7 linked regions of the Cricetulus griseus genome follow. The protein of the gene in region 1 interacts with the protein of each later gene in a pairwise test. Links are inferred from orthologs where the notes say so. Each region holds a gene or a part of one and is shown in the gene's direction. Other genes may lie near its edges. The genes, in order: Thap1, Eef1aknmt, Tcea2, Acot7, Bag5, CUNH1orf35 and Znf385c.

Region 1 (3,766 bases):
TATTTGAAACATATCATTTTACAACAACCACTATTGGGACTCAGTGGTCAAGAGTGTGTCTTACTCTTCTAGAGGACCCTAGTTTAATTCCCAGCACCCACATCAAGTGGCTCACAATTTCTGGAACTCCAGCTCCAGGGGATCACATGTCTCTGGCCTCTTCTTGCAGCTCCACCTCCACCCCACAGCAAACACACACACACACACACACACACACACACACACACACACACACACACACACACACACACACACACACACGATTATAAAGAAAAAAAAACCACTAAGTAACAATAATATACTTTTAAAAAATTTAGAATTCTATGAATTTTAATATCTCACACTTAAAAACTCATTCTAGTTTTGTAAGTTAAAAACAGTTCTGTGTCTTTACATGTTGATAAGTTTTGTTTTTCATTATTAATGACAGTTTATTTTCAAATTATTTTTCTCTTGTTTTAGGTGTTTAGTATTTACTTACATCTAACTAAATCACTTTCTCAGTTTCACAAATCTCACTTTAACTGCAAATAGAAAATTTGAATTGGAACTGAAAATGGCTTGTGGTGTCACATACCTGCAGTCTGATCACTGGGGAGAACAAACCAAGAGGATTGCCACAAGTGTGAAGCTAGCTTGGTATAAACATAGTAATTTCCAGGCCAACCTGGATTATACAGTAAGCACACTGCTTCCCCCCCACACCAAAAAAAAAAAAAAACCAAAACAAACAAAACCCACCCCAAACTTATGGCAGGTGGAGTTACATGTTACTTGTTGTCCTAGAACTTGGGAGGTATAGGAGGATCTGAAGTGTGAGGCCAACCTAGGCTACACAACAAGACCCTGTTCTTTTTTTTTTTTAATCATTTTTTATTTGAATTAGAAACAAGATTGATTTACATGACAATCCCAGTTCCCTTCTCCCTCAATCCTCCCCACCACTCCCCACCCCTCCCCCCACCTCCAACTAAAACCCTACCTATCACATCCCCCTTCTTCTATTCTTCACCTGACTCAACCTTTCTGCTCCCTCATGACCTCTGCATCCTTCCTCTTCCCTTCTCATTCTCCTGCCCCCCCTCTTCCCATGCTCTCAATTTGCTCAGGGGATCTTGACCCTTTCCCCTTCTCTAGGGGACCATGTATGTCTCTCTTAGGGTCCTCCTTGTTTACTAGCATCTCTGGCAGTGTGGATTGTAGGCTGGTAATCCTTTACTTTATATAAGACCCTGTTCTTAAAAATCCACATACAAGCCAAAACCTAGTGTTGAAATTTTTAGCCTGGAAGATATAGTTTTAATGATAAAAAGTTTTGTGTTGAGGTCCTGGCAACCTGGATTCCATGCCAATGTTGTCAAAACCATCTCCAAGAAAACCTATTTTCTCTTTCTCGTTTTTTTTTTTCTGTACCATGAAGTGACAAAAAAGTCCAATGCTAAAACTCTACAGATGTTTGGAGGCCATTAGTTACTAAACTCACATATGCTTTTATGTTGCTATTTTAGAAGGAAGATCTGGAACCCCAAGAACAGCTTCCCTCTCCTCCTTCACCCCCTACTTCCCAGGTCGATGCTGCTATTGGGCTGCTAATGCCTCCCCTCCAGACCCCTGATAACCTGTCGGTGTTCTGTGACCACAATTACACTGTGGAGGACACAATGCACCAAAGGAAGCGGATTCACCAGCTGGAGCAGCAGGTCGAAAAGCTCAGGAAGAAACTCAAGACCGCCCAGCAGCGGTGCCGCAGGCAGGAGAGACAGCTGGAGAAGCTAAAGGAAGCAGTGCACTTCCAGAGAGAGAGAGATGATGCGTCAGAAAGGGGCTATGTGATTCTCCCACATGACTGCTTTGAAATTGTTGAAGTACCAGCCTGAGAAAATGAGATGTACTAGTGGGACAAGACTACATGCTCTCTTGTAGCTGACACACAGGATTTCATTTGAAAAAACAGTACTTGATTACTTGTATAAAAAAAAAAAAATCAGAATATTTTTTTAAAATAAATTAGTTATATACTGTAAAATTGTAATTTTTTTGTTTGTAATTTCAGGGTTTTTACACTTTAACAAAATATTTTAAAAAATCCTTAGACCGCCAATATAATGTTGTATATTGGTTTCAAGATGGTGGATTGTTTTTCATTTGAGTATTTATAGAAATAATGTAAAAATGAAAAGTAGAGAGGATAATGGTGCAGTAAAGATGATTTAAGTTTAAAAGTTAAAATTAATGCCCTTTATTGAGAGAACTTATAATTTAAATCAGAAGTATAAATGAGATCATAGGACAGCCTCTCAGAATATAGAGATGTACATACACATTTGTATTTATAGTCAGAGCTTCATTTATTTTTCTCAATCACTTGTCAAAATAAACTGTCAAGTCAATATTTGAGGAAAATAATATTTTGCTGTCTTCAGAAGAGAAAAGTCATTCCATATTTAATCAATAACTTCATAAAGTAGATTTTTAGAAGTGGGTCCTTCTTGTCCATAGCTTTGTAAAATTGGAAGTGTATCTTGGGGAATGAAGGCCTCAAAGTGAAGGATTGTTACCAGTGTAGTGAAAATTGGGCTGGGGAGGCGGTTCCCTGGGTGAAGGTGCTTGTCGTGCAAGCCTGGTCCCCTGACAACCTGAGTTTAACACCTGGGATCCACATAAGGGTGGAAAGAGAGAGCCAACTCCACAGAGCTGTCTTCAGACCTCCATATATGCTGTGGCATATCTGCACACTCATAAACAAAATTGGGATCTGGTTCCTGATACGCTCTCATCATCCCCTAGCTTAAGGCATCTAATTCTACAGCCGTAGTTTATCTGCATTCAGATCTCTAATATGATTTTAGTAGAGTTTGGTTTGCATCAGAATATGGTAGTTTTCCCCTTAACTGTTTGATTTTGGTCAAGACACTGCATAAAAAATATTTTTTCACCTAAGTTAGAAATTACATCTAATTTACTTTAAGTGACTTATGTTTGAAAATAATGTGCTGTGTTTATGTCCTTAAATGTTGAGATTTAAATATTGTAGTTTCTGTTCACAATGTGAATTGTGTTCTGACTTTGTGAGAAAGCTTACATTCTTTTGAAATGAAAATATGTTCTAAGTAGACAAATACTGATAAAAGAATTCTCTATTTAGGTTTAGGAGAACCATATTTTACATTTCAGAGTACACTCTCTGTAGTTGAGTAGCAGACCTTTTAAGACAGTATTAAAGACATGCTATTCAAGCATCTTTTGTGGATCTGCTTATTTCTTATTTACTGCCATGCTGAGAATAGGTAGCACTTTTAATTCATGGACATTTGATAGTTTTATGAACATCTCTTTTTTTGGTACTGAAGATTGAACATGCCCTTTAGCAGGCTAAGCAAACACCCTGCCCCCAAGCTATATCCCGATCTCTCCATTCTCTATTATTATTATTATTATTATTATTATTATTATTATTATTATTTGAGACAGGGTCTCATTATGCAGCTTTGGCTATCCTGGCTGTCCTAGAACTCATTATGTAGACCAGGCTGGCCTCAAACTTACAGAAAACTATCTGCCTTTGTTTCCATAGTGCTAGGATTTAAGGTGTTTATTTACCACCAAGCTTGGCCCCCTATTATTAATTTTCTAAAGATATATTTTATATGACTGGAGATCTGGCTCAGAGGTTAAGAACACATAAAACTTTGAAGCCCTAAGTTTGGTTCTCAGCAACAACATGGCAGCTCAGAACCTGCTGTAACTGGTTTCTGGTGACCTGATG
Region 2 (4,638 bases), on another chromosome or scaffold:
GCCTTTAATCCCAGCACTCGGGAGGCAGAGGCAGGCGGATTTCTGTGAGTTCGAGGCCAGCCTGGTCTCCAAAGTGAGTGCCAGGATAGGCTCCACAAGCTACACAGAGAAACCCTGTCTCAAAAAAAAAAAAAAAAAAAAAAAAAAAAAAAAAAAAAAAAAAAAAGCTCAGCTGGGCAGTGGTGGCACACACCTTTATTCCCATCATTCGGGAGGTAGAGGCAGGAGAATTTTTGTGAGTTCGAGGCCATCCTGGTCTACAAAATGAGTTCCAGGACAGCCAGGGCTACACAGAGAAAACAAGCTAACACATAAATGCTCAAAAGATGATTATAAAAGATTGCTTTAAATTAAAAATGATGTCTACCCTAACGGTTCAGTGTCTGTTCTAGCACTATGTGTAGGCTGTGAACAAGAATTACTGGAAAGAAGCTGTGTCCTCAATGGCTCATTGATCACAACCAAGAGGTTGACATGTTCCAATCCCAATCTTTAGCCTCCTTAATAGCCATTTGGTGTCCTCTGTGCGTGACTTAACATCTTCTGTGATCATTATGTATGATCTCTGGAAAATAGAAATAGACCTCCGGCTTTCCTGCTTGTTTGTAACCATCTCACAATATGCCAACCAATGTATTTGGAAGTGTTATTTTACTGTCTGTATTGTTACTATAAAAAGGTCCATGAGCCGGGCGTTGGTGGCGCTCGCCTTTAATCTCAGCACTCGGGAGGCAGAGGCAGGCGGATCTCGGTTTGTTTGAGGCCAGCCTGGTCTCCAGAGCGAGTGCCAGGACAGGCTCCAAAGCTACACAGAGAAACCCTGTCTCGAAAAACCAAAAAAAAAAAAAAAAAAAAAAAAGTCCATGAAATTGCAACCTCATGGAAACACCGTATTTGAGGAACCTAAATTTGTGTTTCTGGGCTACGGTCACTCCGTATTTGGCTCCAGAATAAACCATCTCTTTATCGTGCTGTTTCCTTCATCGTCTTTTCAAAACAGCCCTTCGCCAGGAACCTCCTTGGAATATTTTCATGCAACGAACATTTGAAAGGATGGTATGCTCATCAGACACATAAAAGATACCTTTACAGCTGGCATCAGCATGACAATTTAAGGAAGTCGATAACAAAATGAACAGCTTCAGTATGGATACCGTGTTTTGAGGGGCGAGGTAGAGGGAAAAGGAGGCACCTAAGAAAGTTGGTAGTCTTTCCTCCTGAAATTTTACATTGTTACAGTATTGATAGCGAAGGCCCGTATTTTGGAGCAGAAAAGTAGTCCTTTCCCTCTGAATTAAAGGAAGTCCGGGGAGAGAAGATGGGGAAGGGAACAGAGCGGGCTGTGCAGGTCTGAGACGACAGAGAGGCACAAGCGCACCAAGGCTTCCATCCTCCCGAACAAGAGGGATTTCTTCCTGAGCCTCCAGCTTCTGCGCAGTTTAGCCACAGTCCCACCGTGACTAGGAGGGCTCCCCAAGCCCGTGCGCCCTCTGCCGGCCATGGAGCGCAGCCTCTCAGAGGCCGTTGTGGCGACGCGCGCAGCCGCTCCCGGCTCCCGGCTCCCGGCTCCCGGCTCTCGGTAGTGGCCTCTTCCGCCCGGACTCTGGCAGGAAGTCCCGCCCACCCGAATCGGCTTGGGTAAAGCCCGCGACGCCTACGATCCAGGCCCAGGGCTAGAGAGTCCTAGCCAATGATGTGCCAGAAATGAGACACACTGACCAATGAGCTGCTGGCGTGGTATGGGCGCCAGACCAATCCCGAGGCGTCTTACCCGGATGTGTTTGCTGGGCTCTGAGAGTAGCAGCCTGAGTGTGGGGCTGCTGCTGCACGTGGGGCGCGGGCTGAGCGTGCAGAGAAGGGGGCGGCGCGCGTGCGTGTGCCGCGTAGGGCGTTCGTTTGGGTTTTGAGTGCGGGGAGAATCGATGCTGTCTGTAGTGGGTAAGATTCCCGCGGCTGCATCTAGGTGCTTCCTGTGGTGAGGTCCCCTCTTGATCTGTCACCAGGAGTAGTCTCGAGGACGCAGCTCGCCGTGGGAACATGAATCTCTTACCTAAAAGCTCCAAGGAGTTTGGCTCTGTTGACTATTGGGAGAAGTTCTTCCAGCAGCGAGGAAAGAGATCTTTCGAATGGTATGGAACCTATCTGGAGCTGTGTGAGGTGCTGCACAAATACATCAAGCCCAGGGAGAAGGTAAGACATGAGGCCAGGAAGCCCTCCGTGGGGACCGAAGATAGCAGTTCTAAACTTAGGAGACAGGCAAGCGTGGGTACCCTACTCGGATCCACAATTCAGGAGTCCGTGCGGCATTTTGGCCAAATGACAGCTTTAAAATAGTGTTTTAAAGCTTTTGGTCAAAAGCTGATCCTTGAGCCTGGCGCAGTGGCGCATGCCTTTAACCCCCAGCTGAGACAGGCGTATCTCTGTGAGTTTAAGGCCAGCCTGGGCTACTAAGCAAGTTCCAGGACAGCTAGAGCTGTTACACAGAGGAACCCTGTCTTGAGAAACCAAAAGAAAAAATAAAACAACAACAACAACAAAACAACTCATGACCTTTTTGGAATGGTTACTTTTATCAGTAGTCTGAAAGGGTATTCTATCACTGCACGAGTGTGGATTAGGCAGTGCTGTGTGGCTTTGTTGATATATACTTTTAGTAAAGGAGGTGTGGAAGAGATGGGGTTGTGTTGGTGGTAGGGAAGAAAACAACATCTGTTGTGTGCCGTCTTTTTATTCTTAGCAAATTTAGGTGCACTTGTTTTCACAGGTGAATGTTGGAGATCACGCATGTAGTAGGTTGTCACATGGAGATTTAAAAGCAGGTCTGTCTGACCTCAGAGCTTAGTCACTTCCCATCAAAGGATGCTTTTCCTTCAAGAGATGGGCACAGCAGAATTTTTGAAAGATGAATGGGAGATTGTGCCATAGAGAGAGACAATAATTTGGGTTTTAAGTTTGACTTCAGAAGAATAGCTAAATATCATCAGATGGGATCTGATAGGGGCAGATTTTGAAGTCTCACAAACTGTAGTTTATTATCTGGGAAACAGGAAGCATGAGTGCACGGAGATCGTTATGTCAGGCTGCTTTTTAAACGGTAAAACAATATTGCAGCTGGTTTGTTTGCATTTTGCAACTTCCTACAGACTTTTTTTTAAAAAAAGGAGTTATTTATTTTATTATGCATATGTGTGTTTGATTGCATGAGTTTATGTGCCTCCTGTGAGTACATGAGCCTGTGGAGGTCAGAAGAGGCTGTCTGGTTCTGGAATGAGAGTTATAAGTAATTGTGAGCTGTACCGCGTGGGTGCTGAGAACTGAACTTGGGTCCTCTGTAAGAACTGTAGTAGCTCTTACCTTCTGAGCTATCTCTCAAGCCACACATTAATTTTTGAATAGCACACATCACAAAGCCCTGTTGTCACATGACCTTTATTGTGGCAAAATACTGTTTCGATTAGTGAATTCCTGCCAGGTGTGTCTAGCTTTTGACGTCGAGATACAAGGTTGTCATCTACAAGACTCACACGTGAGAACCATGCAATCAAGTGACATAGAAAAATCATTGCAAAAAAAAAAATACAATATTTTCAGAATGTTTACAATTTTGTTTTGAACTCTAGTTCTCAGCATGAGTCATACACAACTGTATTGGTAGCTTCAAGATGGCACCTAGAGTTAATTGAGTGTTGCTTTCTTCTCGAAATAGTTGTCCTGTCTTTTGAGAATAAAAAATAGGCAAGGTGAGACTTTCCTCTTTGAAGTATTAAAGAACATGTCTTTGCCTTGGTAACTTCCATTTTGTATATGATTTTTTTTTCCTCTAGGTCCTTGTGATTGGATGCGGCAACTCAGAGCTAAGCGAACAACTATACGATGTGGGCTATGAAGACATTGTGAATATTGATATCAGTGAGGTTGTCATCAAGCAAATGAAGGAGCGAAACGCCGGCCGACGGCCCCGCATGAGTTTCATGAAGATGGACATGACACAGATGGACTTTCCTGATGCCACATTCCAGGTGGTGTTGGACAAGGGCACGCTGGATGCTGTCCTGACAGACGAGGAGGAAAAGACCCTACAGCAGGTGGACAGGATGCTGGCTGAGGTTGGCCGTGTCCTGCAGGTGGGCGGTCGCTACCTCTGCATCTCCCTGGCTCAGGCTCACATCCTGAAGAAAGCAGTGGGTCACTTCTCTCGGGAGGGGTGGATGGTGAGGGTGCACCAAGTGGCCAACAGCCAGGACCAGGTGTTTGAAGCCGAGCCTCGGTTCTCCTTGCCTGTCTTTGCCTTCGTCATGACCAAGTTCAGGCCAGTCCCTGGCTCTGCCCTTCACATCTTTGAGCTGTGTACTCAGGAGCAGGGCAAGCCCGTACGGCTGGAGAGTGCCGATCGGCTGGCCGAGGCCGTGAGGGAGCGGCAGCACTATGCTTGGCTGTGTAGCCAGCTGCGCCGCAAGGCCGGGCTGGGGAGTATATCTCTGGACTTGTGCAGTGGGGACACTGGGGAGCCACGCTACACCCTCCACGTGGTGGACAACCCCACTGTGAAACCATCGCGGGACAGTCATTTTGCCATTTTTATCAGTGAGTTGGGATTGTTCCACCTCTTTCCCTGGAAGGGCTGGCTTACAGGGGCTG
Region 3 (2,819 bases), on another chromosome or scaffold:
AGATGAAGGAGGAGGAGGTGGGGCTGCTACCTCTGCAAGAGGTAAGCTAGGCAGACAGCATCTGTTTGTGGGGACAGTGGACAACTAGGCTGCAGAGATGCTCCCATTGATTAGGGCGGCAACCATTCCTGGGCTCTGTCTACACCTCTGTGAGACAACCCAGGATCTGTCCCTCCTTATAGTCACATGGCCATCAAGAAGCCTCAGGGTTAGTTTGTCCTGATCCCCAGTACAGGTTTTGGGCAAGGCCCATGTTTTCCGAAGGAGACTTTTATGAGGCATTTGCTTGTTTTCTGGCCAGGTTGGACCTGAAGAGTCCCTCAGCAGCTTGCTTGAGTGGGGGCTTGAGGAGGGTGGGTCCTGAAGAGGCTGGTGGGCTTGCTGGGGACTGGGAGGAAGGTCTGGTGGCCTCCTGGCACCTTGCTTATCTAATGGCTTTGAGCAGTAGGGATAATGGCCAGGCTGAGGCTGAGCTGGCACCTGGCTACCTGCTCCTGACCAGTCTATACCATCTGTTTTCTGATAATGACAGATGTTTCTGATGGCAAGACCAGGGATCAAGGGAGGGGCACACCTCTGCCCACATCATCCTCAAAGGATACCTCAGGGACTACGGATCTCAGGTAGCATATCTGATGGCAGGTATATACATTTCTGCCTCTTGCCTCAGTAGGAAAAGAAGGCTGATGTCTATTTGCCTGGGCACTGCTCTGAGGGAGAGGCCCTTTCTAGGTCACCATTTGTAAGGTTAGTCAGCCTCATGTTGGATACTGTCCCACTGCTCAGTTCCCTTCTTGCCCATCTAAGATGTCTGGCTGAGTCTGCTTGGCTGTCAGTGTCATCACTGAGACATTCAGTAAGAAGGGGCTACCCATCAGGATCTGGCCCAGCCCCAGGCCTCCTTGCCTGTTTACTTAGACCCTATCTTTTTGCTGCTCAGCAGGATTGATGAATGGGTCACTCATGCAATGCTAGCCAGAGCTATAGGTGGGCACAGCTCAGATCTCCACATTCAAGTGTTGTCATACCATTGCCTAAAAGGTGGTCAGGGAAAACCTGTTACCATGGAGACTAGGGGCACTGCTAGTTACAGGTTATGGATGAGAGGCTCCTTTGATCAGGTGGTAGCAGTGGCCAGAGGCTGAGACCAGGCTACAATAGCCTATGCTCTGGACTCCAGCCTTGCAGTCCTGATATGATGTCATGTCCTGAGCTCATTAGCATGCTTATACAGTGGATCTTGCCCCAGAAAGCCACCTGATGCTGCTGATTTCCAGAGGAAAGGGCCTGGTGGGTAGATAGGATGACTGGTAGGCAAGTCTTTTATTGGGCCCAAACCTGAGATCCTTGCCCAATTTCATTTGTGTTGAGTGGGGTCACCTGTGATAAGACTTGACTTTGGGTGATCTCCCACTTCATCTTTACTCCAGAAGTACCTGCCTGTTTCTGCCATTAGCAGAGAGGTATTCACAGCATGGTCCATGTTTTGGGTCTCTTGGGAAGCAGACACTCTGAAGCTAGCAAGAATATCTCAGCCCCCTTTGACTAGGGAGCATTTTATTGAGACACTGATTGTTGAGGAAGGATCTGGCATCCACTTGGGGAGTGATTTGTGGTTCACTGTGGACCTTGTGGCCAATGCCTTTCTCTGATAAGGAAGCCTGAGCACACAGGCATTCTAGGCTGAACTATGGATGAATGAAGTCATTGGGTCTAGCTGGGGGTCTGTCAGGATAGAGCAAACGGGCTTTGGAGGTCAGTGTGGTGTCCATGTTTGCTTTTCTGGGGAATCACCTGTGGCTCAGGAAAGGCCAGGGGATCACCCAGAGAGTGCACTGGGTGGCCTCCCAGTGGTGTACAACAGCTAATGAAGATGCATAACTTAGCTTAACAGGCTCAGTCTGAGCCCAGTAGGCTTTGTCTCTCTAGCTGCAAGAAGCCAGACCCACCTAGGACCTTATCCACTCCGAGGATCACCACATTTCCCTCAGTTCCCATCACCTGTGATGCTGTACGAAACAAATGCCGTGAAATGCTGACTTTGGCCCTGCAAACGGACCGTGAGTACTACAAGCTCTGATTTTAATACTCGTCCAGATTCCTAGGGTGGCCTGGGCCTCTGCCTGCTTTAAAGGTTGCTGTCAGAGAGGTAACATACTCTCTCTCTTGTTTTTTTGAGACAGGGTTTCTCTGTTAACAGCTCTGGCTATCCTGGAACTTGCTTTGTAGACCAGGCTGGCCTCAAACTCACAGAGATCCACCGCCTCTGCCTTCCGAGTGCTAGGATTAAAGGCATGCGCCACCAGCACAGATCTTCTCTTTAGTCACATTCCCTACTGTGACCTAGGGAGGAGGCTTGGGTTTTGGGGTCTCCAGAACACCTGTATCTTGGGAACTGTTTCCCAGGAATGAAGTGACCTATTTAGCTTCTGGGGTGCTGTGCAAGCAGAGGAGTGGCAGGTGGAAAAAGCCAGTGGGGGAAACTAATGAGGGCTCCCTCTTGCAGACGACCACAAGGCTGTTGGTGTAGACTGCGAGCATCTGTCAGCTCAGATCGAGGAGTATATCCTTTACACAGTGTATACAGGGTTAAAGGCTTCTGGTAGAGTCTGTAGGCCAGAGTTGTGCTTCTCCAGTAGCTGTTAGATAACACTGGTAGGTTATCCAGTGCCCTCTTGGGGTGATCCCCTGACCTTTCCTGGGCCATAGATGGGTAAGGGGCTGTGACTACTTGATAGATCTGGGCCTCAAACAGGAATGGGTTTAGAGAAAGCACAATATGATGGCCCCTCAGTTCCTCCAAAGGGCTTGGGTGGGTA
Region 4 (4,477 bases), on another chromosome or scaffold:
GTATGATAATTAATGTTGTTAAATGTTAAGTAGAGACCAGCGTGCTTGCCCCATAAACTTGGTGAGTGATCTGCGTGTTGTCCTTGGAACACACATGGTGCCAGGCAGATTTCACAGGTGTTGGGATGTAATCTAGGGCATGGGAACAGTCATTTGATGTTTGATGAGGCTGAGGGATTTTTAGTATATGTTCTAGGTTTATCTACTTATTTATATGTTTACTTATTTAAAAATGGAAAGCCAGGCCTGGTAGTGCATGACTCTAATCCCAGCTTTTGGAAGGCAGAGGAAGCCTGGGGAATCTCTGTGATTTTGAGGCCAGACTGGCTTACATAGTTGAGTTCCAGGTGAGCCAGGGTGACATAGTAAGACCCTGTCTTTAAAAACAAAACAGTCAGGGTGGGGGTGTGGGGCATGGTGACTCACTCAGGAGGCAGAGGCAGGCAGATCTCTGTGTTCGAGGCCAGCCTGGTCTACAGAGCAAGTTCCAGGACAGTCAAAGATACAGAGAACCCCTGTCTCAAAAAAACCCAAATAAGAATAAAAACAAAACAAATCAAAAGTATGTGTGAGACTTCACTGTGCTGCCCAGGCTATCCTGAAATTCTGGCCTCAAGTGAGCCTCTTCCTCTGCTTCCTAAGCCCTCTAGTAAATGGGAGGACAAATGTGGTCCACCTAGCCTGTGGTGGATCTCAGAAGGAGCTGTGTTTTAGAGAGGATGGCAGACCATGTTGTCTGGGATTTGCTGCAAGATAACCTGGCATTGGAGAGTGCTGAGAGCAGAGAGGAAACCAGTGGTGGCCCAGAGGCAGTTGAATTGACACGGGGGTGGGGGGGGGCGGCAGGGGGGCAAGGGACTCTTCTAAGCCTTTGGTTTTTTTCCACAGTAGAGAGTAGAAAATAGAAAACACCAGCTCTCAAGCCTCAGCCTCAGAGTGTGAGGGCGGAGTCCAGCCTCCAGCCCTGCTTCCTCTGTGGTCCTGCCCCACTGCAGCACTTTGTAGTCCTCCTGAACTTCCGCGGCCTTCGTGCTCAGCCAGCACCTCTGCCCTACTTGGCAGCCGAGCCTTGCTGAGGATCTTTTGGCCCAGGTGGGACCTGTGCTTCAACTTGGCATAAGCCAAGAAGGGTGAAGCTCCGCTTGAAGTTCTTGGAGATTGGGGGTCCTAGAGGGAGCTCTGTCTGTCAGTCCTGCAGATAGGTGGTGCCTTTGTTTCTCCTCCCCCTTATCTCCCTCCTAGAGGTAAGGCAAGGCTGAGTGACTTCACACCTCCTCGTGAGCTGCTTGCATCACTGGCTGCAGGCACAGACCCACCAGCTTGACTGCCTGCTCCTCCCTCATTTGCCTACTTACTTACTAGTGGTGGAAAGAGGAGCCGGCTGGATTCCCTTGAGGAGGCCACTCGGATCGCTAAGCCGGTGCCGAGTGGTGGACACAGCAGCTAAGCCTTTTGCTGAGAGGGAAGATAAACGGGTTGTCCCACTCCACAGGATGAAGCTGTTTGCCAGGACTCTGCGCCTCTGGGAGGTGGGGAGGCAGGTAGCCTCCTGGAGCCTGGAGACAGGCCAGGGGCTCAGGGAAGGAAGACACTGGGCTCCCATGAGGGCTGTCAGGACCAGAGCAGATCTCCAAATGTCTGGACATTGTATCATCGCCATGGGAAGGTAGGGTGACTGATGCTAATCTACTCCCTCAGGGACTCTGCTCCTGGGCTTAGGCTTCAGGCACAGCAAGAGTGTAGGCTGTAAATCCTTAGGAATGGGGTTGGTGAGCTGCCTCTTGTCAATAGGTAGTCATCCATTGAAACCGGTCTTGCTGCTGTCCTTTTGGGGACCAGTGGAGGCTCCTGGGCTCCAGGCTGTAGGAAGCTGGGGCCTTCCTAGACATGAATTCCTTTGGGTGTGGTTGGAGATCACCACATCCTATGACCAGCAGCTGTGCTGGCTCAGGTCCAGGCCCTCTTCCAAGCGGCTGTTCCAGGTGGCCGAGAGATGCCGCAGCTTCTGCGCATGCCCTGTTTGGTCCTGGATGAATGGGCTTTCATTTCCCTAAGCTTTGCAGAAACGTTGTTGGGATGTAATTCACATGCCTACATTTTATCCACTAAAGTTCACAACCTGGTGGCTTTAGCACCTTCCCTGAGATGTCACCATCAGTTTTGCAAAGCAATGATAGGGTCTTCTAGCTCTTGAAACTCTTGGAGTGACAGGAATGTGTCTTTGTATGCTAATGAGATGACTGGGGGCTGGCCCAGGAAGACTTGCAGGAAGGACTGGAGGGTTTGAACTTTTGGCTCCACCCCGTTACTTGCTACCGGGGTGGGGGAGGTTCTTGGCTTGAGTTAATCACCCATGACCAATGACTTGATCAATCATGAAATCCCCTTATGCTGAGGTCAACATTTATCTTCCAGCTTCCCAGTGGCAGCCACTGCATCAGTGTGGCTGGTCCTCGTTGTGTCCTTCATTTAAAAAAAGGAAATCGTCTTTTCTTGGGGGGATAGAGCCTTACTGTAATTCAGGTTGTCTCCAAACTGCCTTCTGCACCTGTCTCCCCAGCACCAGGACCCAGTAGAGTGCCCTGTGCCTGCAGGAAATTCCCCAGTTAGCAGATTGAGGAGGGGCTTGTGGGAACACTGATTTAGATGACTGACTGTGACCAGTGGACTTGTATCAGGTGTCTGAAGTGCGTGGTCTCTGGGGACTGTGGGGTTGGCGGCAGAATGACAGTGACTTGTAGGACCTGAGTTGAAGGGTGGAAACTTGTCACCTGATGTTTGTCAGCAGAGGTGGTGTGCACAGAAACAGCTCATTTGGGAGAGAATGAATTACCTGGTTATTTCAAGTCAGGCTTTGAGGCATGCAGGTGGCTCCACAGGACCTGGCTGTATTATGTCTCCCAGCGTGCTGAAGGGGTCAGTGTCCCCACAGCTGCCAGCACTTGCTTGTTAGTGGGTGTGCAGTATTGTCCCACTGCAGTTCCAGCTGGCACTCCCCTGATGACTCAGATGCCATTGTCTTTTTCCGGGACCGGGTTCTCTGTGGAATAGCTCTGGCCTGGACCACATGCTGTAGCTGGCCTGGAACTCACAGAGATCCTCCTGCCTCTGCCTCCCAAGTACTGGGGTTAAAGCTGTGTGCCACCACACTTGGCAGCGGTGGCTTCTTCCTCTTCTCCTCCTCCTTCCTCCTCCCCCCTCCCTCCCCTCCTCCCTCCCCTCCTCCCTCCTCTCTCCCCTCCCTTTCCTCCTCCTCGTTCTTCAAAATTTATTATTTTTCCCCTAGAAAATAATAAATTGGAGAGAGGGCTCAGCGGTTAAGAGCAAAGGTTAAAACGCCTCTTCCAAAGGCGTTGGGTTCAATTCCCAGCAACTACATGGCAGCTCACAACTGTCTGTAACTCCAGTTCCAGGGGATACTTTGAGACCAATGCACATAAAATAAAGTTAAATAAAAAAATTTAAAAAGTTTATTATTTTAGCCGGGCATTGGTGGCGCACGCCTTTAGTCCCAGTACTCGGGAGGCAGAGGCAGAGGCAGGTGGATCTCTGTGAGTTCGAGGCCAGCCTGGTCTCCAGAGCGAGTGCCAGGATAGGCTCCAAAGCTACACAGAGAAACCATGTCTTGAAAAACCAAAAAAATAGTTTATTGTTTTTAAATTTATGTATGTTATGTGTGTAGATCATGTGTGTAGGTGTCCTCAGAGTCCAAAAGGGTGTTGGGCCTCTTGGAGCTAGAGTCCTAGGAGGTTGTGGTGCCATGTGGGGCTGGGAACTGCACTTGGGTCCTCTGGAAGAGCAGCACTTTATCACACTTCCTCTGACTCCTCCCTACTCTTTGAGAGAAGGTTTCACTTTATAGCCTGGGTTGTCCTGTAATTAGCTACATAGACCAGGCTGGCCTTGAAATCACAGTAGGGAATAAGAAACCCTGTCTCAAACAAGGTGGAAGGTGAGAACCAACACCTGAGGCTGTCTCTGACCTCATGGGCACAACATGGCACGCACACACATTCACATGGACCCACATGTGCGCGCGCACACATTCACATGGACCCACATGTGCGCGCGCACACACATTCACATGGACCCACATGTGCGCACGCACACACATTCACATGGACCCACATGTGCGCGCGCACACACACACACACACACAGACACACACACACACACACACAATCTACAACAAAGACACCAAAAGCATTGGAGAGGAAAAGAATAGCCTTAATCAGTGGTAGGAGATATGCCGAAGTTTAGTAAAACTGTCCCTTACCTATAGAGCATTCAAAAAGTAACTCAGAACAGACCCTAGGCCTAGATCTGTTTTGAATTACTTGGTGTATGCTCTTTAGTAAGGAACTGTGTACACCGGGCCAGCCAGCCCACAGGCTTCTGGGGACTCTGCTGTCTTTGCCCACATCTCACCATGCTGGGTTGTAGATGTCTGGCTTTACGTGGGTCTCAGGATCTGAAC
Region 5 (4,543 bases), on another chromosome or scaffold:
AGCATAGACTTGCCACTTGGGTCTATAAAACGCTGAAGTGTTATCCTGAGGACCCAGACCCTGGGTAAGATTTACTTTTTGTTTGTTTTGTTTTGAGACAGTGTCTCACTTGGTTGCCCTGGCTCCAAGTTACTATGGAGCTGAGCTTGCTACCCAGACCAGGCAGGCTGCCTTGTGAGTTAAAGGCGTTGAGCCACCACACCCGCAGCAAGACTCTCTCTCTCTCTCTCTCTCTCTCTCTCTCTCTCTCTCTCTCTCTCTCTCTCTCTCTCTCTCACACACACACACACACACACACACACACACACACACACACACACACCCCAAAGTAAATGCTTGGCTGAGTTACATTTCCCCTCCCCAAACATGTTCAGACACCTGTTTCGTTTTTCCTTCTGCCCAAGGACTAAAATTCTATTTTTCTAGAGACAGAAGTGAAGGCTTGTCTGTTTCTCGTGCCAGGGAACCGAGCCAGAGGCCAGGAGCCCGGGCAACAAACCTTAACTGGAGACTAGACAGACTTCAAAAGCTGTAGTTCTAATAAAAGTGTTTCCGAGACGCAGCATAACAGAAATGGAAATTCACACAGCAGGCACATTTTGCAATTCTTAATTATCTCCCCCACACACCTTTTTTTTCCCCGCTGCGGCCCTTTAATTATTGCTTAAGCAAACCTCGCCAGCCTGTGTCGCCGGCCTGCTGGCAAATGCAGTGCGGGCAGCCATGGGCGCTGTCTAGTGCTCTCCACCTGAAGCCTCAGCCATCACTCTCACTGGCCCGGGCCTCCCTTAAACGAAGCACCGGCTCGGGAAGAAGGGCGGCGGGTTAAACAAAAGCCGAGCGCCCGGCCGCTTTCCCGGCTCGCTGCGGACGCGCCCTGCGGCCTCTGACGCTGCGCGACTGTTTACAAACAACGCGCGGCCCGAGCCGCCGCCGCCTCCAGACCGAGCCCGGGCGCCTTCGCGCAGCGGAAGTGAGGGCGCAGCGCGCCGACAGCGCTTCACGCCGGCTCCGGGGACGCCCCGCTCCCTCCCCGGGCGTCCGCTCACCGGGCTGGACGCCGCATCCCTGCGCTCCGTGCCGCGTTCCCGGGCCAGCCGGCCGCCGCCGCCGCCGCTGGACGAGGAGCGGACGAGCGGCCGGACGAGCGCTCCGCTTCCGGGCCGCAGAGCCGCCATGGCCGGCGCGCGGCGCGATCGCGACAGCGCCGCGGTCCGCTTTACGGCAGCGTCGCGCGGGCGGCGGCGGGCGGCGCGGGCGAGGCCGACCGTGCGCTTTCCCGGAGAGCGGCGGCGGGCGCGCCCGGGGCGGGGCCCGGCCGCGTTTTTCCCCGGGCTCGGAGCTGGGCGGCCGGCCCCGCGGCGGGCGCCGCCTCGGCAACGCTGCGGAAGTGCAGGCGGAGGAGCGCGCGCGATGGCGCGAGCGGCCCAGGTGAGCGCAGCGCAGCGCGGGGGGGGCGCGGGCCTCGTTCTCCCCGCCGCCGCCGCTCCCGCGCGCCCATTGTGAGGTCAGGCGGCGGCGCGTCGGGCCCGGCCGAGACGCCCCGGAGCGGCCGCCGCGGCCAGTAGCTGCCGCCGCCTCCGCCGGCCCCTTCACCGGCCGCCCGGGTCAGACCTAGCCGGGAAGGGCGAGGGGGATGCCGCTGGGGGCCCCGCTCCGGCGCCGCTCCCCGTGACGGGCCGGTCTCCCGCCTCGCCGCCCTCCGCGGCCGCCAAGACCGCCGCCGCCCGCACCTCTCCGGGCTTGGACTGAGTTCTGTGGCCGGCCCGCCGGAAGTGAGCGGTTTGACAGAAACCTGAGAGACGGAACGAGCGAGCGAGCGAGCGTGGGAAAAGCTCTAAGCATGCTTACGGGGAGGCGAGTGACCCAGCTAATAACCGCACTTGTCACGCTTTCTGGCGGGGGCCCGGGTCGGGGCAGCAATGGGAGTCGAGGGGGGCGAGGACTTCGTGGAAAGGACAAGTCCGGTTGGGCCTGGGGCAGAACGGTGGCCCGGTGAGGAGCCCCGGAGAGCGCCCGATGACTTCCACAGGGGAGCCTCCCGCCCCGCCTGCCGCTCCCAGTCGTCCTCTAGGGCGGTGGGAGCAGAGGAAACGGGGTTGACGCGGATGGTTTGGCCTCCGTGAAAGTGTGTGCGTGTGTGTGCGTGTGTGCGTGTGTGCGTGTGTGTGTGCGCGCGGCTCACTTTGATTCCCAGGCCCAGACATCCACCCCAGACTGGACAGACTTCTCCCTGTTTTCGTTTTGCTTTTGAGTCAGGATCTCACTGAGTGGCCCGGGCGGGTCTTGAACTCCTAATTCTCTTCCCTCTGCCTCCCTGGCGCCGGGCGTGTTGGCACATTGTTTTGTGAAGTGCTTTCCCGAGAGGGAGTTAACATGTCACATCTCCTCTTTCCTCGAGTATGTCTTCCAAATCTATAAATAACGACAAAACCTTCCGTCTGTGTGTTTTGGTGCTTGCCCGGGTGCCAGAGTTCAACCCTGCCCCCCTCCCCCCAGACACACCATTTCTGTGGTGTCCTTCTACTTTGTTTTTTTTGAGGCGGGGCTTCTCATGGCCCGAAGCTCCCCAATCGGAGTAGGCTAGCTGGCCAGTGAACCACAGAGTCCACGCGTCTCTGACTCCTGGCACCGGTGGTGTAAGTGAGCACCATCTTGCCTGGCTTTTACGTTTTATGTGCACCGGTGTTTTGCCTGCATGTATGTGTGTGCATCACATGTGTGCCTGGCGCCTGTAGAGGCCAAAAGAGGGGATCAGATCACCTGGAACTGGAGTTACAGGTGACCAGGAGAGGCCATGTGGGTGCTGGGAATTGAACCCAGGTCCTCTGGAGAGCATCCAGTGCTCTTAACCACTGAGCCCTCTCTAGGGCCCTTGCCCTGGCTGTCTTTGCATGTGTTCTGGAGCTCCAACTGGAGCACTTGACTGACAGCTGTCTCCATAGCCCCAATTAATCCTTTAAAAAGTATGCCTTTTAAAAGTGAGTTTAAAGTGGGTTGATCTAACTGTCCTGCAGAGACTGTAATAAGTTACTCTTGCCGTCTTTCAGTGCTTGTGAAACTGAACACAGAAGTATGGATATGGGAAACCAACACCCTTCTATTAGTAGGCTTCAGGAGATCCAAAGAGAAGTCAAGAGTATAGAGCCTCAAGTGGTTGGCTTCAGCGGCCTGGCGGATGACAAGAATTACAAGAGACTGGAGAGGATTCTGACGAAACAACTTTTTGAAATAGACTCTGTAGACACAGAAGGAAAAGGAGACATTCAGCAAGCTAGGAAGAGGGCAGCGCAGGAGACAGAAGGCCTTCTCAAAGAGTTGGAGCAGAATGCAAACCACCCACACCGGATTGAAATCCAGAACATCTTTAAGGAGGCACAGGCCCTTGTGAAAGAAAAGATCGTGCCCTTTTACAGTGGAGGCAACTGTGTGACTGACGAATTTGAGGAAGGCATCCAGGACATCATTCTGAGGCTGACGCATGTTAAAACAGGAGGGAAGATCTCTTTGCGGAAAGCAAGGTACCACACCCTAACCAAGATCTGTGCCGTGCAAGAGATCATTGAAGACTGCATGAAGAAGCAGCCTTCCCTGCCGCTCTCTGAGGATGTGCACCCTTCAGTTGCCAAGATCAATTTGGTGATGTGTGAGGTGAACAAGGCCAGGGGCACTTTGATCGCACTTCTGATGGGCGTGGACAGTACTGAGACTTGCAGGCACCTATCGTGCGTGCTGTCAGGGTTGATGGCTGATCTAGATGCTTTAGACGTGTGTGGGCGTACGGAGATCAGAAATTACCGGAGGGAGGTGGTGGAGGACATCAACAAACTACTGAAATACCTAGATTTAGAAGAGGAAGCTGACAGTACACATGCATTTGACCTGGGGCAGAACCATTCCATTCTGAAAATAGAAAAGGTGCTCAAGAGGATGCGAGAGATAAAAAATGAACTTCTCCAGGCTCAGAGCCCTCCCGAACTGTACCTGAGCTCCAAGACAGAACTTCAGGGCTTGATCGGACAGCTAGATGAAGTCAGTGTTGAGAAGAACCCCTGCATCCGGGAAGCCAGGAGAAGAGCCGTGATTGAAGTGCAGACCCTGATCACGTACCTGGACCTCAAGGAGGCCCTGGAGAAGAGGAAGCTCTTCCCTAGTGAGGAGAACCCCCCACACAAGGCTGTGTGGGATGTCCTTGGAAACCTGTCAGAGATTCAGGGTGAAGTCCTCTCGTTTGGTGGAAACCGAACTGATAAGAACTATATCCGTCTGGAGGAGCTGCTGACCAAACAGTTGCTGACCCTGGACGCTGTTGACCCCCAGGGAGAAGAGAAGTGTAAGTCTGCTAGGAAGCAGGCTGTGAAGCTGGCCCAGAACATCCTCAGCTACCTTGATCTGAAGTCCGACGAGTGGGAGTACTGATGGACCAGGAGCTGCTCCTGCTGGTTCACACTTTATCTGCTTTTAGAGAGCTTTCAGCTCATGGAGCCTAAATGTAATTTCTATGTGCATATTCAATCTCAGTATTTATGATTTAATCAAATTA
Region 6 (4,586 bases), on another chromosome or scaffold:
GGCTGTAGTCAGTTTCTCCAAACTGGTGTGGACACTTGTCCCATACCCTCCCAGCCCCATAGCCCTGCTTCCCTCTTAGCTTCACCTAGTGAAGCATTTTGTGGTCAGACAGTGCAGCTGAGCCTTCTATGTCCTTAGCATACCTGGTCAACGGTGAGGGCCCCAGAAGTTGCTATCTTGCTTTCTGGAGATCTTTCCTGGGAGATGGCTGGTTTGCTCCTTTTTTACTGTGGCCCACATGACTGCTGCTCCCTTAACTGTGCAGCTCCCCTTGGGTCCATCCATGTAATACATCCATCCCTAGTGTGATCTTGTTCTTTTTGTTTGTTTTTATTTTGAGACAGGGTTTCTCTGTGGCTTTGGAGGCTGTCCTGCAACTAGCTCTTGTAGACCAGGCTGGTCTCGAACTCACAGAGCTTCGCCTGCCTCTGCCTTCCGAGTGCTGGGATTAAAGGCGTGTGCTACCACCACCTAGTGTGATCTTGTTCTGAGGGATCTAGTTCCAGCTGTGTCCTCCAAAGCCAGGATATGAACTCAGGGCTTGTACTAGGTGCCTCACAAGCTGTTGGCAGGTTCTCAGCATGTGTTCAGAATGAAGACATGAACAAAAATGGGGTTGTCTTGGTCTGTTTGGGATGACAGAGAGCACCAGGTTGGATAATTTTTCAAACTAGGGATGGAACTTGAGACCTCTCTATCATTAAGATGTGGCTCTGTTTCTCTTTCTTATGTTGAGGCAGGGCCTTGCTAAGTTGCCCAGACTAGCTTTCAGATCTCTTTGTAAGCCTAGGCAGCTCTTGAACTTCCAACCAACCTTCCTGCTTTAGCCTCTTGGGGACCTAGGATTACAGACTCTTGTCACCAGGCCCAGTTCAGACTGGGTACTTTAATTAGCAGAGTGGCATACACCCTATGGCATGTGGGTGATTAAATGATAAATTGTGTAAGTTGGTTCTCTCCACCATGTGGGTCCTGGGGATTAAACTTGTTTCAGCAGGCATGACAGCAAGAGCCCATACCCACCCAGCCATCTCACCAGTCATGGGTACTTTATAAATAGTAATTTGTTCTCACAGTTGCAGATTTTATGCATGTTTTATCTTATAGAATATGTGAAGTTTCAGGGGCTGGAGAGATGGCTCAGCTGTTAAGAGCACTGACTGTTCTTCCAGAGGTCCTGATTTCAATTCCCAGCAACCACATGGTGGCTCACAACCACCTTGAATGAGATCTGGTGCCCTCTGCTGGCATGCAGGCAGAAGACTGTATACATAATAAATAAATAAAATCTTAAAAAAAAAAAAAAAAAAAAAAAAGAATATGTGAAGTTTCCCCAAAAGCAGTGGCAGAGGAGTTCTCACAAGGGAGTGATCCAGCTGCTCTCAAGATAGGTCCCTAAAGAAATACTAGGGTGAGGTGTAGTAGTTCACATACGTTCTTTTTTTGGTTTTTCAAGACAGGGTTTCTCTGTGGCTTTGAAGGCTGTCCTGGAACTAGCTCTTGTAGACCAGGCTTGTCTCGAACTCAGAGATCCACCTGCCTCTGCCTCCCGATTGCTGGGATTAAAGGCATCTGCCACCAACGCCCAGCTCACATATACTTTTAATCGAAGCACTTGGGAGGTAGAGGCAGATGGATTTCTGTGAGGCCAGCCAGGGGTACATGGTAAAACTCTATCTCAAACACAAACTGAGAGAGGTTGGCCAAGTTGCCTCTCCTGATTAATTCTGGGAGAACTGGAAACCAGGGGGCTTAAGGCAGCCCAGCACTTGAGTTCAATCTGCATGACAAGGCTTGTTTTTTTTATTTTTCACCTCCTTTGAAAACAAGAGCTACAGATTTACAGTTCTGCAGGGGAGCCTGCTTCACAGGCCAGCATGCTCAAGGTTATGTAAATCATAACAATGTCTGTCTTCAGAAAAACAGTCGAGGTATAGGAACATCACCCTATTCTGTAGAAGCTGAAGAAGGTCCCAGGCGTTCTTGTGTTCCTTCCCACATTTGTTTACATTCCAAATTCCCTTTTTGAGAAATATTAACATGGGATGTTCCCATGTTCATGTCAAATTCATTATATCCTCACCACTCCCCAAAACAGTCTGGATGCCAGCACTATAGAGTTGGGACAACAGATCTGTTCTGGGTTCTAGACAGCTAACATCTCATTTTATATTAGAGACTGAATGTAAGTGAGTTCTCCAGGGTTCCCTTCGTAGGGGCACTAATCTGTGAGGCTCTGCTTCATTACCTCAAAGGCCCAGCCTTCAAATATAACCCTAGTGGATGTTTTAAAAATGATAATAGGGGTGTGGGTTGCCACACAGTCTATTACAGGCAGTTAAGGCTAAGACTATAATGCAGAAAAATTGCACTCATTTAAGCTTTAGTCCAGACATCGACTTGATCGTTCATTGGCTGCCAGGTAAAACTAATGATTCTTCCAGAACCAAATGACAGTACTAAACCTGTATTCAAAGAAGCTTAGTTACTCGTTATTCTTGGTCATGCCCCATCAGAACAAATGCAGTTAGCTCTGTTCTTCGTACTTCATCAGTAAAGTCACCTGCAGAAAACACAGATCGCTCTGGTTTAGGGAAGCTTGTGCTTTGTGGCCTTTATCTCACTTTCGTGACACAATGTGTCATCCAGTACACAGAAGAGTTGATCTGCGTTTCTTTGGGGGCTTTAATCGCCACTCATGGTCCCAGGGATTTACTTCATCTCAGCTCTGACCTGGGACCCCCACTCCTTTTGAGTTAGCACGCCTGGCTTTTGTCCGGCCCTGGCCCCTCCTGGTGTCACCAAGGTTTGTTGGCATTCCAATCCACCGCATGACACTGAGATCAGCAGCCGTTTCTTCGAGGAGCTAGTGCGCAGGCGCACGTGGAAATGGGATGAAGATGCGCCTGTGAATGAGTTACTACTTGAACACCGGGTGGAAAGAGGGCTCTCGAGGCTGAGGTTGCCCGAGCCATGCAGAGCGCAGGCGCGCGGACACCTTAGTGAGACGCGCAGGCGCACAAGTGACGTCACGGCGAGCGTCCGGCGGCCGAGTGCTGCGGGAATCTGACGCTCGGGCTGCGGGTACTGGAGATTGTGCAGCGAGCGGCTCCGTCGCCATGTTCGGCTCCAGTCGCGGCGGCGTGCGTGGCGGACAGGACCAGTTCAATTGGGAGGATGTGAAGACCGACAAGCAGAGGGAGAACTACCTAGGCAACTCGCTGATGGCGCCAGTGGGCCGCTGGCAGAAGGGCCGCGACCTCACCTGGTACGCGAAGGACCGCGCGCCGTGTGCCGGCCCGAGCCGTGAGGAAGAGCTGGCGGCTGTGCGCGAGGCGGAACGCGAGGCGCTGCTGGCCGCACTGTGAGTTTCTGGGCTGCGGGGCGACTGCGAGCTCCGGGGATGGGATCTGGGTGGCCCCGGGGCGGGGCTAGATGTAGGCTGGGCAGGGGAGGAAGGCTACGGGCTCATGCCCCTTGACGTGTACCCTCGACCCTCGCAGAGGTTACAAGAACGTGAGAAAACAGCCCACCGGCCTGAGCAAAGAGGTGAGTCTGGGGTGCGGGTTCAGGGTCCTCAGGGCTGGCGGGGCTCTATCTGTACCGGCCTAGAACCTCTCCCCACCCCCACTCCCCGCTTCCTCAGGACTTCGTAGAGATCTGCAAACGGGAAGGAGGCGATCCTGAGGACAAAGGCGTGGACCGGCTGCTGGGCCTGGGCAGCGCCAGGTGCGGCGGGTTGGGTAGAAGGGGGCAGGACTGGGCGGTGGTCCAGAACTGTCCTCAATGTTCTGTCTTTTGCAGTGGTTCCGCAGGCCGTGTGGCACTATCCCGGGAAGACAAAGAGGCTGCCAAGCTTGGGCTGTCAGTGTTCACGGTAAACTGTCGGCCCAAATGCTCAGGATCCTGGGCTTGGGGATGTCTGGGGAGACGTGGGGCGGGACTCCCTGGGTGTCCCTCCCTACAGCTGCGCTTCTATATAGCACCACCGCGTGGACAGCGAAGGCCCAAGCACCACCCCATCTGCTGCCAGGAAGAAGCCTCGTGCTGAGGACAAGGCCGAACTGGAGTAAGTTGAGGAGTCTGAATACTTATTCTACCTACTCTGTGTGTGCGCTTTTGAGTCTCTTGCTGGCATCCTATGTGAGTTGTGCACACTGCACTAAGAGTGTATTCACAGGAGATACTGGGTGTCCAGACCCACAGGTATACTGGGAGGTTAAGTGCCAGGTCTTTTTTTTTTTTTTTTTTTTTTTTTTTTGATGGAACCAAGCACTGCCCTTAGTTCTTTTGGCTTTACTGAAGTTGTTGGGCCTCCACCTCCAGGCTGGATGTGCCTGCCCATCCAGATGCCTGAAAGAGGGAGTGTCTCTGTAGCTGCCATTGAGGGCCAGCAAGGGTGATGGTTGCAAACAGGAAGGTGTCACTCAGACAGAGCCATGATGCTGGCCAGTTTGATGGGAGGTGGAGCAGTTAAAATATGAAGCTACAAGTGGTGGTGCTTGCCTTTCTTTAATCCTAGTTGGTAGACAGAGGCAGATTGATCTGAGTTTCCACCAGCTAGTTTCCAGGCCCAGGGATTTAGT
Region 7 (3,920 bases), on another chromosome or scaffold:
GCTCCGGTTTCCAGTTTATCTTCGGAGCCTTCATCCGCTACTCTACACCCTCTCTGCCTTCGGTGCAGAAGCTTGCCCTGGTCCTGCAGTACAAAGGAGCCGAACCTGGTCTTGCAGCCGGTAGTGATGGCAGCTGCAGCTTCGCAGCTTCGCTGGGAGTTCAGCGCGTCTCCAGAGCTTCCTGCTGGAGCTAGCGATCTCTCCGCCCGACCCCAACTGGGGTGGCGACCGCGGTGTGGAGCTGCTGGGCTACCCAGAGGCTTCGCCGCAAGGCTTGGAGAGCCTCCAGGAAGCTTTCCTGGATTCTATGCACGAGCACGCTGGGGGTGTCCTTTCCTGAACCCTCGCTGGACGCAGTGGCCGCATTGGCGATGATCTTCGATCCCTGCCCCTACCCTGAGGGGCGGGCACTGGTGCACCAGCGCACTGGGCGAGTTCTTCAAGTGCATGGTGGCCAGCCGCCGTGGGGCGCCTTTGCCCGCTGGCCCTGCATCAAGCTGGCGTGTGCGCTTCCCGAGCTGCACCAGCTATTTCCTGACTTCGACTCCCTAGCCTTGGTGCTGCCCGCGCGGGGCTGCTGAACAAGGTGGGCTGCAGCCTCAAGCTGCGGTGGTGGCACCCCGCCCCCCCCGCATGAGTTTGATTTTGCACTGGCCGTGGAGTTCTTAGAAAGCAGATGGGGGAGGGACTCCTGGGGTGCCTCCCCTTAGCCGGCAGCAGTGGAAACTGAAGGGAGCTCAGACACACTTTTTTTTTTTTTTTTTTTTTTTTTTTTTTTTTTTTTTTTTTTTTGCCTACAGATCTGTGTGAGGGTGCCAGGTGCCATGTGGGTGCTGGAAATTGAACTCAGGTCCTCTGGCAGTCAGTGCTCTTAACCACTGAGCCATCTCTCCAGCCCCGCTCAGACACATTCTTTTTCTTTTTTTTATGTATACAACGTTCTGCTTCCATGTATATCTGCACACCAGAAGGCAGCACCAGATCTCATAACGGATGGTTGTGAGCCACCATGTGGTTGCTGGGAATTGAACTCCGGAACTCTGGAACAGCAGTCAGTGCTCTTAACCTCCCAGCCAGCGCCAGCCCCCACCCCCACCCCCAGACACACTCTTAACCATACTACACTCAAGCTGACCTACTGTGTTGTACTCTGCTCTTCACCAAACCTGTCTATGAGGAATGGGGAGCCTGCGCAACTGGTAGTGGTGCTACCTAGGTTCTGGACAGTTCCGGTCCCTTCTGACCTTTCAGAGTTTGCTTTTTCTCTGTTGGACCCTCTCCTCGGGTTTCGGTTGGAGGAAAGAAGGTTGGGCTTTAGGAACTGGAGAAACAGGTGAAGAAGAAGGGGTCCCCGAGAATTCCCTCGTCCCATGCTTTACAGCGTCTCTTTTCTTAAGAGATTGTAAACTGGATGCCAATGCTTGTTCTGACCCACAGCTCGGTGCTATCTGCGCACAAACTAATAGGTCAAGTGCATAATGATTCCAGAGAGGCAATGGCGCCCTCCCTCCCTCTCTTCTCCTCCGACCTGCTGCCTGCCGGCTTTTCTGTACTTGACTGTTTATAGACATACATCTACAGATGCTAAATAAACCCATTTTATGTTTCAGAGGGTTAACACCCAAGTATTGAAAAGGACTTCTTCTGGTTTTGCAATTACAGGACCCAAGAAAGTCTCCAATAACCTAGATTGATACCTGCTTTTTTTTTTTTTCTTCCCTTCCTTAAAATCTGGTTTGTTGGTTCCCAGCCCTTTCCTGCCTTTGCTTTACATGGTTAAGACCAAAGACTGCAAAACCACAGTGTTGTTCTTGGGTGTCCTGAGGACTGGTTTGGGGGGGGGTCTCACCAGAACTAGAGACCCAAACTTTGAGAATGCTGTAGGTTTCTTTCTTTTTAATTTTGTGGGGTTTTAACAATTTATTTTATATGTATGGATGAATTCTTTGCCTGCATATATGTATGGGCACCATGTGTGTGCCTGATGACTGCAGAGGTCAGAAGCAGGCATCGGGGCTACTGGAACTGAAGTTACAGTTGTGAGCTACCATGTGGGTCCTGGGACTCAAACCTCGCTAGGTCCTGTAGAAGAATGACCAGTGCTCTTAAGCACTGTGCCATCTCTCTAGGCCCATGCTGTGGGGCTTGTTTTCATTCCTTCTGTGAGTGGTATGGAACCTGAAGTGAGAAGGGACAATTAGTGAGAGGAAGGGGAGCTGGCCTTTCCCTACACTCCCTGAGTTTGGTACTTAGGGATAAAGTGGGAACACAGCAAGCACATCATGCTGTCACCATGGATGTGTGTGCTAACCCTGACTCTGACCCCTCTCTTGGCTGAACTCCCTCTGGGTGTCTGTGAGAGAGGCTCACTCTTCTGTCTAGGAGACTTGAGCTGGAGACTCCTTGACTTCGCTTCTTCAACTTGCTTCAGCTGCAGTTACAAAGAGGGAGCCAGGAGTTCCTGTCCTGGCTGTACAACAGCCTTTCCTTGTGGCAGCAGCGGTGGGAGAGAGAGCCTTCTGGCTCCTCATTTCAGACCCTGCCCTTCTTCCTCCTGCAGCAGGCCCCGCCTCCAGCGCCCCCAGCCCCCTGCTGGCCTCCCTGACCCTGCCCACCCGGCCTCTGCAAACCCCGTTGGACTTCAAGCACTTGCTGGCCTTTCACCTCAATGGCACCACCCCGCTCAGTCTCTTCCCCAACTTCAGCACGGTATGGGCTGGGCAGGAGGGCGGGGGCACATGACGGTGTGGGGGTGGGCAAAGAAGGTGACTCAGCTGACCCTAGGTGCTACCAAATAGGGACCCAGAACCCAGCTGTCTCCTAGCTAGAGATGAAGGTGATGTCATTCCCACCCCACCATCACAACTCCCCAGAGGGGTGTGTGTGTGTGTGTGTGTGTGTGTGTGTGTGTGTGTGTGTGTGTGTGTGATCCAGGTGTCTCTGTGTGCACTTGGCTTGTGTCTTTGATTTGGGGGGTTAAAGATTATTTTATTATTTCTTTATTTAGTTGTGTGTTTGAGTGACTGTATGTATGTATGTTCACATGTGTGGATATACATACCTGTACATGTGCCACAGCCTGAGAGGTCATTACATCATTGCATGCCCTCCCTCTATGATCCCTCCCTGAACCTGAAGCTCCTGTTTTCTCAGTAAGGCTGGAGAACCAGCAAGAACCAGCAATCCTCCTGCCTCTAGCCCTATTGGAGCTGAGGCTACAGACTTGCTAGGGCACCTGGTTGGTTGTGTGGGTGCTGGGATCTGAATGCCAGTCCTCATGATTGCCCAGCAAGTGCTTTTAACTGTTGAATCATCACTCCAGACCTTGAATTATGTCTTTGCCTTGGAACTTGTATCTCTGGAGGTCTGTGTGTTATGGGTGGATGTGAATTTGTATATTGTTTATGAAGACTTTTGTGTGGATGCCTAGACAATTGTGTGTCATATGTGTGCATGTGAATGTAAGGGATTTGGATGTCTTTGTGCCTTCTCTTAGGTGCTGGGTATGTATGAGTTTCAGGTGACTGAGAGTCCATCCGTGTCTGAAAGTGTCTTTCTCCTTGTGAGTCTGTAACTTCCTCTAAACTTGTGTCTGTGTATTTCTGTCTTATGTGCATGCACTCAGTTGTGTGGAGTGTGTGTGTGTGTGTGTGTGTGGTGTAGGAAAAATGTTGGAGTACTCCATGAGGTGTGAGGAACAGCACCCTTTTAGTTCTGAAAATCAAATAAAATCAGGATGAACTCCACTCCATCCCCAAGAGACCCACGTGGCATGCCCTCCCAGTAACCTGTAGGAGTCTCCCTCCCTTTTGTCACCTCCAGGGTTGAACACAGGTCCTGAGAAGTATGACATATTTGGGCATGGGTCTATGGGCTTCAACCCCTACTGTCATTTACAGATGTGTTCATTGCTCAAAGGC

Evidence for each region.
Region 2: the proteins of Thap1 (region 1) and Eef1aknmt interact in binary tests that used the Homo sapiens proteins (3 or more experiments, as listed by UniProt). The two-hybrid records come from large-scale screens. The link is inferred for Cricetulus griseus from reciprocal best matches to the Homo sapiens genes THAP1 and METTL13.
Region 3: the proteins of Thap1 (region 1) and Tcea2 interact in binary tests that used the Homo sapiens proteins (3 or more experiments, as listed by UniProt). The two-hybrid records come from large-scale screens. The link is inferred for Cricetulus griseus from reciprocal best matches to the Homo sapiens genes THAP1 and TCEA2.
Region 4: the proteins of Thap1 (region 1) and Acot7 interact in binary tests that used the Homo sapiens proteins (3 or more experiments, as listed by UniProt). The two-hybrid records come from large-scale screens. The link is inferred for Cricetulus griseus from reciprocal best matches to the Homo sapiens genes THAP1 and ACOT7.
Region 5: the proteins of Thap1 (region 1) and Bag5 interact in binary tests that used the Homo sapiens proteins (3 or more experiments, as listed by UniProt). The two-hybrid records come from large-scale screens. The link is inferred for Cricetulus griseus from reciprocal best matches to the Homo sapiens genes THAP1 and BAG5.
Region 6: the proteins of Thap1 (region 1) and CUNH1orf35 interact in binary tests that used the Homo sapiens proteins (3 or more experiments, as listed by UniProt). The two-hybrid records come from large-scale screens. The link is inferred for Cricetulus griseus from reciprocal best matches to the Homo sapiens genes THAP1 and C1orf35.
Region 7: the proteins of Thap1 (region 1) and Znf385c interact in a two-hybrid assay, tested with the Homo sapiens proteins (3 studies listed by BioGRID). The two-hybrid records come from large-scale screens. The link is inferred for Cricetulus griseus from reciprocal best matches to the Homo sapiens genes THAP1 and ZNF385C.

The regions. Positions count from the first base shown.
Region 1 is NW_023276807.1:57,654,120-57,657,885, reverse strand, and holds the end of Thap1 (THAP domain-containing protein 1), read left to right. Parts: intron 1-1,508; coding exon 1,509-1,877; 3' UTR 1,878-3,241; downstream 3,242-3,766. UniProt on the Homo sapiens protein: DNA-binding transcription regulator that regulates endothelial cell proliferation and G1/S cell-cycle progression.
Region 2 is NC_048598.1:29,592,643-29,597,280, forward strand, and holds the start of Eef1aknmt (eEF1A lysine and N-terminal methyltransferase), read left to right. Parts: upstream 1-1,779; 5' UTR 1,780-2,037; coding exon 2,038-2,190; intron 2,191-3,824; coding exon 3,825-4,584; intron 4,585-4,638. UniProt on the Homo sapiens protein: Dual methyltransferase that catalyzes methylation of elongation factor 1-alpha (EEF1A1 and EEF1A2) at two different positions, and is therefore involved in the regulation of mRNA translation.
Region 3 is NC_048599.1:224,048-226,866, reverse strand, and holds part of Tcea2 (transcription elongation factor A protein 2), read left to right. Parts: intron 1-532; coding exon 533-623; intron 624-1,914; coding exon 1,915-2,060; intron 2,061-2,506; coding exon 2,507-2,563; intron 2,564-2,819. UniProt on the Homo sapiens protein: Necessary for efficient RNA polymerase II transcription elongation past template-encoded arresting sites.
Region 4 is NC_048595.1:4,175,644-4,180,120, reverse strand, and holds the start of Acot7 (cytosolic acyl coenzyme A thioester hydrolase), read left to right. Parts: upstream 1-1,315; 5' UTR 1,316-1,493; coding exon 1,494-1,666; intron 1,667-4,477. UniProt on the Homo sapiens protein: Catalyzes the hydrolysis of acyl-CoAs into free fatty acids and coenzyme A (CoASH), regulating their respective intracellular levels.
Region 5 is NC_048598.1:182,322,368-182,326,910, forward strand, and holds the start of Bag5 (BAG family molecular chaperone regulator 5), read left to right. Parts: upstream 1-1,670; 5' UTR 1,671-1,843; coding exon 1,844-1,857; intron 1,858-3,050; coding exon 3,051-4,419; 3' UTR 4,420-4,543. Other genes in the region: cytochrome c oxidase assembly factor 8, read right to left, coding at 1,050-1,178. UniProt on the Homo sapiens protein: Co-chaperone for HSP/HSP70 proteins. It functions as a nucleotide-exchange factor promoting the release of ADP from HSP70, thereby activating HSP70-mediated protein refolding.
Region 6 is NC_048600.1:73,266,485-73,271,070, forward strand, and holds the start of CUNH1orf35 (multiple myeloma tumor-associated protein 2), read left to right. Parts: upstream 1-1,620; 5' UTR 1,621-3,119; coding exon 3,120-3,364; intron 3,365-3,503; coding exon 3,504-3,549; intron 3,550-3,646; coding exon 3,647-3,729; intron 3,730-3,804; coding exon 3,805-3,877; intron 3,878-3,983; coding exon 3,984-4,069; intron 4,070-4,586.
Region 7 is NC_048600.1:113,686,688-113,690,607, reverse strand, and holds part of Znf385c (zinc finger protein 385C), read left to right. Parts: intron 1-2,560; coding exon 2,561-2,709; intron 2,710-3,920.